Sus scrofa: one gene and its partner. The protein of the gene in region 1 purifies or fractionates together with the protein of each later gene. This does not show direct contact. Links are inferred from orthologs where the notes say so. Each region holds a gene or a part of one and is shown in the gene's direction. Other genes may lie near its edges.

Region 1 (3,827 bases):
TCACCAGACAGGTATCTGCTTATTTCAATCATCCCTCTGTTTCCTTTTTTTGAATTTCTATGTTTATCATCAGTCATGCCCCAATAATATTTGACTTATTTTTTCCTAAGCTAACATTATTAAGGAAACTATTCATTGGCTTTTTGCAAATTGAAATAAATTATGTCCATTTTTTACTCTTTGGAAAAACGTGATAATCTCTGTAATGAGCACTAATGAATTACCCAGATACAATTTACTTTAATAGAAACCACATTGCCTTTCTCCCCAGAGCTTACTCTAGTGTTCAGTGGTTCTGCCTTTGATTTTAAAGTTCACCGTTAAGTATGAAGTGAATGTTCCTTTTCTGAAACTCTACTTGTAGGTGAAAATTCATTAACTAGTTTCTCTGGCTTTTTTTGATATATTTTTAATCTCATAAAATGCTTACATATCAGAAATTTATTTTAAAATACATTTTTGTCGCTAAGTACTTAGTGTATATCTGGAGGGGGTTTCGTATAGTGAAATCAAATGTTTAAATGATCATAAATTGCTTTTTATCTTACAGGATTTAATTGTGATGGGAGCCCCGGGATCATCTTATTGGACTGGCTCTCTTTTTGTCTACAATATAACTACAAATAAATACAAGGCTTTTTTAGACAGATACAACCAAGTGAAGTTTGGAAGTTATTTAGGTACTATAAAAAGTGACAAACTCAAATTGTTTCTGCCTTACAGATACTGGTAATTATAAAGAAGGAAAATCGTACCTTCAAAAGATCAAAATGGCCAATAGGAATTAAAGGGCCACTTCAAAAACTGCATCTTTAAGAATGTAATCTATGAAACTTTTAGTTAACTTAATATTTTATATATGTAACTGTTACCATCAATGTATAGTTAGATAAGAACTCCTGGTTTGGTTTACTCTTTGCCGTAAATCACTTGAAAGTCTGTATCTTTATACGGTCTACGTTTTATTGTAAAGGTAGTGTCTATTGAGTGCCTGCCATCTCCTAGGAACTTCTGTAAGCACTCTACATGAATTGATTCATTTAATCATGAATGAGTGAGTAAGTGTGGTTTCTTCAAGGACCCACTGAAAGTCAATGAGACTGCGGATGGCTTTCTAGACAATGGGTGACATTATGAAGAATATGTGTCTAAAAACAGCTCATTGACCTTTGCCTCATAAGTTCTTAGAATATTTCCCAGAGCATAACTATTTTTATCTATCTTCTTATTTAAGAAAGAATACTTATTTAAGATAGGATACTTTATAGTCTATGTTTCTACAGAAACCCAAGATTTTCTCTGGCATTATTTCCCTTGTTGTAGTATAAGGAATTCTTTTCCTAAGGTTTCTTTAAAAATACAGATTTGTTTAAATGATGTGTGCTTCAAATGTGAACAGCCTACACTCAGGAATAATTATAATAGAAAGCAGGATTTTTCCCCCATTTAAACAGAAGGAATTCATTTTCATACAGAGGGAACTAATTTACAAGTCAACATTTACTTGTTTATGGTTGAAGGATATCTTAAAGGATTACAAAAAATGTAACTTAGTATTATACCTTTGACCACATAATAAAATGAGAATATTTTACCTGTTGTGTTATCATACAATTTTATCATAATTGGGAAGGTTTCAGGGCAAGAAAAATTGAAGTTTAGGAAAAATATGGGTTTTTTTTTAACTTCAAGTTCAAAATGTTATATTTTAAATATGCTAAATTATTTCTGTTGTAATCCTAGAAGCTAGAATGTCCTGATACCACAGAGACTAACAAACCAAATGTAAAGGTGCTATCTTCAATTTCTAAGACTGAAAAATATAAGCCATGTGACTAGTTTCATGATGCACAATAACTGCTTAAGGCATATAATACATAACCAGTTTTGAATATTGCTATGCTAAATTTTCTTAAATCTCTGGTTTAGTGTAGTTATTTTGAATTTAGTCTTATTTAACTCTGAGTGGATTTATGATCGGGGTTTTACCCATTGCCAATGATGATTCTCATACTTTTCTACATTTTCTTGAAGGATACTCGGTTGGAGCAGGTCATTTTCGGAGTATGTACACTACTGAAGTAGTTGGAGGAGCCCCTCAACATGAACAGATTGGTAAAGTAAGAATTTCATTTTAGTATTTTATTTCTTCAAAAATGTTCAAATAGATCACATGAGAGAATAAGATATTAAAGGGCACCACAAAAATTCTAAGCATTCAAGCTGAAAATGATGAGCAATGTGCTGCTGTTAGAGGAAACTTAGTGAAAGTTGTATGGCTTTTAGATAAAATTGTGCAGAAAAGCTTTAAGGAAAATTATGGAAGTCAAATGATGCTCTTCTTTCTAATGAATAATTGTTTCTGAGATGATAGAATTTTCTCAAGATATCATAGGAATACACTTATTGGTTAATAACTTTATAGCTGAAGAGAAATCAAGGCAGCTACATTTGTGGTGTAGTAGTGTTAAGACTAGAAAGAATAAAATATTATTTCTCATTTAACTTTCATTACATTGTTGTGAATGTTAACTAAATTTTTCTGAGCCTTATTTTGAAAATTAAGGCAAACAACGTTTTCTGTGCTCTCTGTAATGGATCCGTGAGATTGTTCCTGAGAAGGTGGTTTTGCAAGGAAGGCATGTTAATGTGAAAGTGGATCCCTCGGCCTTTTGTATCACTCTGAAAAGGATTTTTTAAAAATATATTTAAGCAGGAAGTTCCCCTGCGGCACAGTAGGTTAAGGATCTAGCATTGCCAAAGCTGTGGTGTGGGTTCCATCCCTGGCCCAGAAACATCCACATGCCGTGGATGCAGCTAAAAAAAAATTAAAAAATAAAAAAAACCTGAGCAATTATGACAATTAATGTTTTGACTGAATGAAAAACTTTTAATGTGATAGTAGTGTAACCTTTCCTAATGCTTTTCCCTATTGCAGGCATACATTTTCAGCATTGATGCAAAAGAACTAAATATCTTACATGAAATGAAAGGTAAAAAGGTAATATGTCTCTACCTTTGGTTATCACTGAGGGCGTTGGTGAGTAACTCTGCTTTTTTCTCAATGACTGGATCTGGTTTGCCTTGGAGCAGCTTGGGTCTTATTTTGGAGCTTCTGTCTGTGCCGTGGACCTCAATGCAGATGGCTTTTCAGACCTACTGGTGGGCGCCCCCATGCAGAGCACCATCAGAGAGGAAGGAAGAGTGTTTGTGTACATCAACTCTGGCCTGGTAGGTCCGATTGCCTGCAAACTGGAAGCCATTTATGGGATTTTGATTACAACTGATGCTCTTCTTATTCCAGCAAGACTATAGATTTTTAGGCTTATTTTACCAATGAAAATTAAAGTTGTGATACTGTACTGATGCTCTAAAAATGAAATGGAACATGGTAGGGAAAGGGCCTCTGTCCTATTTTAATGTCTCAAAAGTATGAGATCAGGTGTCTGAAGTTTTTCTATTCACAGCTTGTGTTCACTCAAGTAGTAGAAGTGTCTTCCAGTTTTATTATGATGCAAATTTATAATTTGAAAGAATGATTTTTCTATAACCCTAAAAATGTGGGTGTCCTACTGGTTTGACAGTGAGTGTCCTTATATAATTTGGTAGTTATAAACACTACTGGAAGTAGATGATAAAGTATAAAATGTTTTTAATTTCTTGATTTGAAACAATTGGAAGCAAGAATTTTGATAAAATGTTTATTTGCACAGTTCTTACAGATTTTAATTCTTGATGTGAATGTAAAATTGACATTGTTTATTCCAAAGCAGATATAGTAGTTGTAGAAATATGTGTTTACTTGCTTATGGTTGAGTTTTAAATTA
Region 2 (3,827 bases), on another chromosome or scaffold:
TTATCTATAATTTCACCTGGGAAATTTGCATCTTTAAACTTTTTTTTTAATTACAGTATAGTTGATTTATAATGTGCCAGTTTCTGCTGTACAGCAAAGTGACTCAGTTATACATGCATTCTTTTTTTATATTCTCATCCATCACGGTCTATCCCAGGAGAATGGATATAGTTTCCTGTGCTGTACTCTCGGACTGGTTCTTTTCTTTTTTTTTTTTTTTTTTTTGTCTTAGTCCCGCACTTGGGGCATAAGGAAGTTCCCTGGCTAGGGGTCTCATCAGAGCTGCAGCTGCCAGCCTGCATCACAGCCACAGCACCAGATCCAAGCCATGTCTGTGATCTACACTACAGCTCACGGCGGTACCCGGTCCTTAACCCACCGAGCGGGGCCAGGGAGCCACAACGGGAACTCCGTGGACCTTGTTCTTTATGAAATTAGCATCTTTATGTTTAGTTTTTTACTAGAATTTGTGTGTTTCTTCATTTATTCAAATCTTCTGTCGTAGCTCTTGGTTTAATTTGTTCCTATTTTGAGTTTAGCACAGGAAAAGTAATCTTTAAGCAAATATTTTAAATAAGAAATATAATGATGTATGTTTTAACAGAGAATGTGTTCAGTGCCGAGCCTTCAATAAAGGAGAAAAGAAAGATACATGTGCCCAGGAATGTTCACATTTCAACATTACCAAGGTTGAAAATCGGGACAAATTGCCCCAGCCAGGCCAGGTCGATCCCTTGTCCCATTGTAAGGAGAAGGACGTTGATGATTGCTGGTTCTACTTCACATACTCGGTGAATGGGAACAATGAGGCCACTGTTCATGTTGTAGAGACTCCAGGTAAAAGTCATTTTCATTTATGTCTTTTTACTGCTTAGGGCAATTGGCAGTTTCCCTTGTATCTAGGAAAAGCTTTGAGCTGGACTATTTTAGGTTTATTTGGGACATTTCTAATCTCTTAAAGCTAAAATAGTATTAACTACATAAGAAATAAGGGAAAGAGCAAATTTTAAGTTTTATGATTAGAGAGATTAAAGAGTATATCAGCAGTCCACACAGAGCTCTCAGCACAGGGCCGGACGGCACGGGGCCGACTCAGTAAGAGTCAAGTCACTGTGAGTGATATATGTATATGTATATTTTTTAGGGCTGCACCCGTGGCATATGGAGGTTCCCAAGCTAGGGGTCGAATTGGAGCTGCAGTTGCCAGCCTACCCAACAGCCACAGCAACACTGGATCCCAGCTGTGTCTGTGACCTACACCATAGCTCACAGCAACCCAGGATCCTTAACCCACTGAGAGAGGCCAAGGATTGAACCCTCGTCCTCATGGATGCTAGTTGGGTTCATAACCTGCTGAGCCACAATGGGGAACTCCTATGAATGATATTTAAATATACTTGATTTAGAAGGGGACACTGGGAAACTTATTTTGTCACAGGATATTATAGAGCATGGCTTTGTTCAGCTTCTCAGAAGATGAAACATTTTTTATCTTGTTTTTCCAGATGATTTTTAAATATTCTTTGCAATTTTCTACATTTGTGTTCAGGTTTTTATGGGAATATAAGTTTTAATTTCTCTTGGATAAATATTCAGAATGGATTTTGGGGACATATATTTAACTTTGGAAGAAAGAGCCAAACTTTTAAAGTCTGTATTTTGCATTTTCAGATATTTTGCAAATATTGTCTTCTGGTCTATGCATCCTTCTTTTCATTGTCTTAAGTGTTTTTTTGAATATCTGAAGCTTAAATTTTGACGAATCACATTTGCCAAGTTTTTCTTTTTTAGATTCTGCTTTTTTAACTAAGACCTCTTGGTGTATTTCAAGTTCATAAGGATTTTTTCCTTTGTTTTCTCCTAAAAGTTTTATGGTTTCTGGTTTATTTGAGCTGATCTTGCTTGGCATATGGGGTGATGTTCAGTTTTTTTGTGCATGGATAGCTGGTCATTCTTACACCATTTCTTGAAAAGATTGACCCTTCTCTACTGTGGTTGAAAATCAGATGACCTTGTATGTGTGGGCCTGTTTCTGACTCATGATTCTGTTCCGTTAATCCATGCATCTGTCTTAGAGTCAATACAACACGATTTAAATTACTGTTGCTTCAAATCCAGTTGTGAAATTTGGTAATGTGAGTTATCCAACTTTGTTCTTTTCCAAAAGTGTTTTTAAAAGACTTTTCTAGTTCTCCTCCTCCTTTGTGAATTTTAGAATTAACTTGCTTGACATCTGTACACATCCTGCCAGGATTTTGATTGGGATAGCATTGAGTTTATAGATCACATTGGGGGAGAAGTGACATCTTAACAATATTGAATCTTCTAATATAGAACATGGAATCTCTCCCCATTTATTCAGGCCTTCGATCTCTTTCATCAGTGTTTAGTAATTTTCAGCATGTAAATCTTACACATTTTTTGTTAGAATTTTACATTGGTATTTCATGATTTTGATGCTATTGTAGAAAATACTGTTTTCTCATTTTCAATTTCTGATATAAAGAAATCAGTTTCTGTTATAAAATACATAGGACTTTTCTTTATTGGTCATGTCTCCTGTTGTCTTGTGAACTCATCTGTGAACTTTTAGTGTCTTTTTTATAGATTCTGTGGGATAGTGTCCATTGACTTATCTTGGATTTTAATTCCTTAGTGTTTTTTATGAGACTCTTCAGCTCTCTGTAATGTGGGCTGTACTTCACACATACCAACCCCTTGTGTGCTCATCGTCTGCTGCTTATTTTACAGAGTGTCCCACTGGTCCAGACATTATTCCAATTGTAGCTGGTGTGGTTGCTGGAATTGTTCTCATTGGCCTTGCACTGCTGCTCATTTGGAAGCTTTTAATGATTATTCACGACAGAAGGGAATTTGCCAAATTTGAAAAGGAAAAAATGAATGCCAAATGGGACACGGTGAGTTGGAAGACATCTAAAAAGGAATATAACTCTTCTAAGACATGTTTAGTAATTCTCAAGCTGATTATTAAAGTCCTTTAAATATTTTATTCCCCCAAGACTTTACTCAGAAAATTTGCATTTAGCCAAAACCAGAAAACACCCTAAATAACGTCACATTAAAACAAAACAATGTTTATTCTGGTTACTATGGTTAATATTTTTATTTCTATAATAGTTTTGTCTTTTTTCTTTTTTAGGGCCACACCTGCAACATGTGGAGGTTCCCAGGCTGGGGGTATAATTGGAGCTGTAGCCACCGGCCAGAGCCACAGCAACACCAGATCCGAGCCGCATCTGCAACCTACAACACAGTTCACGGCAACGCCAGATCCTTAACCCACCGAGTGAGGACAGGGATCAAACCCACAACCTCATCGTTCCTAGTTGGATTCTTTTCATCTGCGCCACCACGGGAACTCCTATTTCTGTAATAGTTTTGATCTTAAATCTGAACTTCTGACTTTTCTTATGAAAGATATAATCCTCAATAATGTTATATGTGTAGCAATAGAAGGTTTCTTCTTGCTTTCTTTATTTTTTCAACAAAGAACCTTGAATGGAAAGCAGCCAGACTCAAAGGGCTGCTGTACGATTTATATGAGTGTTGAAGAGGCACAACTATAGGGGCAGAGATGAGATCAGTGGTTTCTAAGGCCTGGAGTTGGGGATCTAGGGATGGTCTCCACTGTGGGTGTGTTTTTACATTTGAGAATTCATGGACCTGTGTAGTTCAGGGTATTTTTACTCTGCAAATTACAACCCGATAACCCTTGCTTTATACAAAATTTAAAAGCTGTAAGTGATGCAAGTTTATGCGAGCATTTAGGGCTTTGAAGTAGGGGTGACAGGGTGGGGCGGCCGAGG

The links.
Region 2: the proteins of ITGA4 (region 1) and ITGB1 purify together in Homo sapiens (co-immunoprecipitation; 4 studies listed by BioGRID and IntAct, with this or other methods). This does not show direct contact. The link is inferred for Sus scrofa from reciprocal best matches to the Homo sapiens genes ITGA4 and ITGB1.

Annotation. Positions count from the first base shown.
Region 1 is NC_010457.5:86,969,405-86,973,231, forward strand, and holds part of ITGA4 (integrin alpha-4), read left to right. Parts: intron 1-550; coding exon 551-680; intron 681-2,034; coding exon 2,035-2,120; intron 2,121-2,938; coding exon 2,939-3,001; intron 3,002-3,093; coding exon 3,094-3,231; intron 3,232-3,827. UniProt on the Homo sapiens protein: Integrins alpha-4/beta-1 (VLA-4) and alpha-4/beta-7 are receptors for fibronectin. They recognize one or more domains within the alternatively spliced CS-1 and CS-5 regions of fibronectin. They are also receptors for VCAM1.
Region 2 is NC_010452.4:56,085,340-56,089,166, reverse strand, and holds part of ITGB1 (integrin beta-1), read left to right. Parts: intron 1-604; coding exon 605-837; intron 838-2,751; coding exon 2,752-3,002; 3' UTR 3,003-3,827.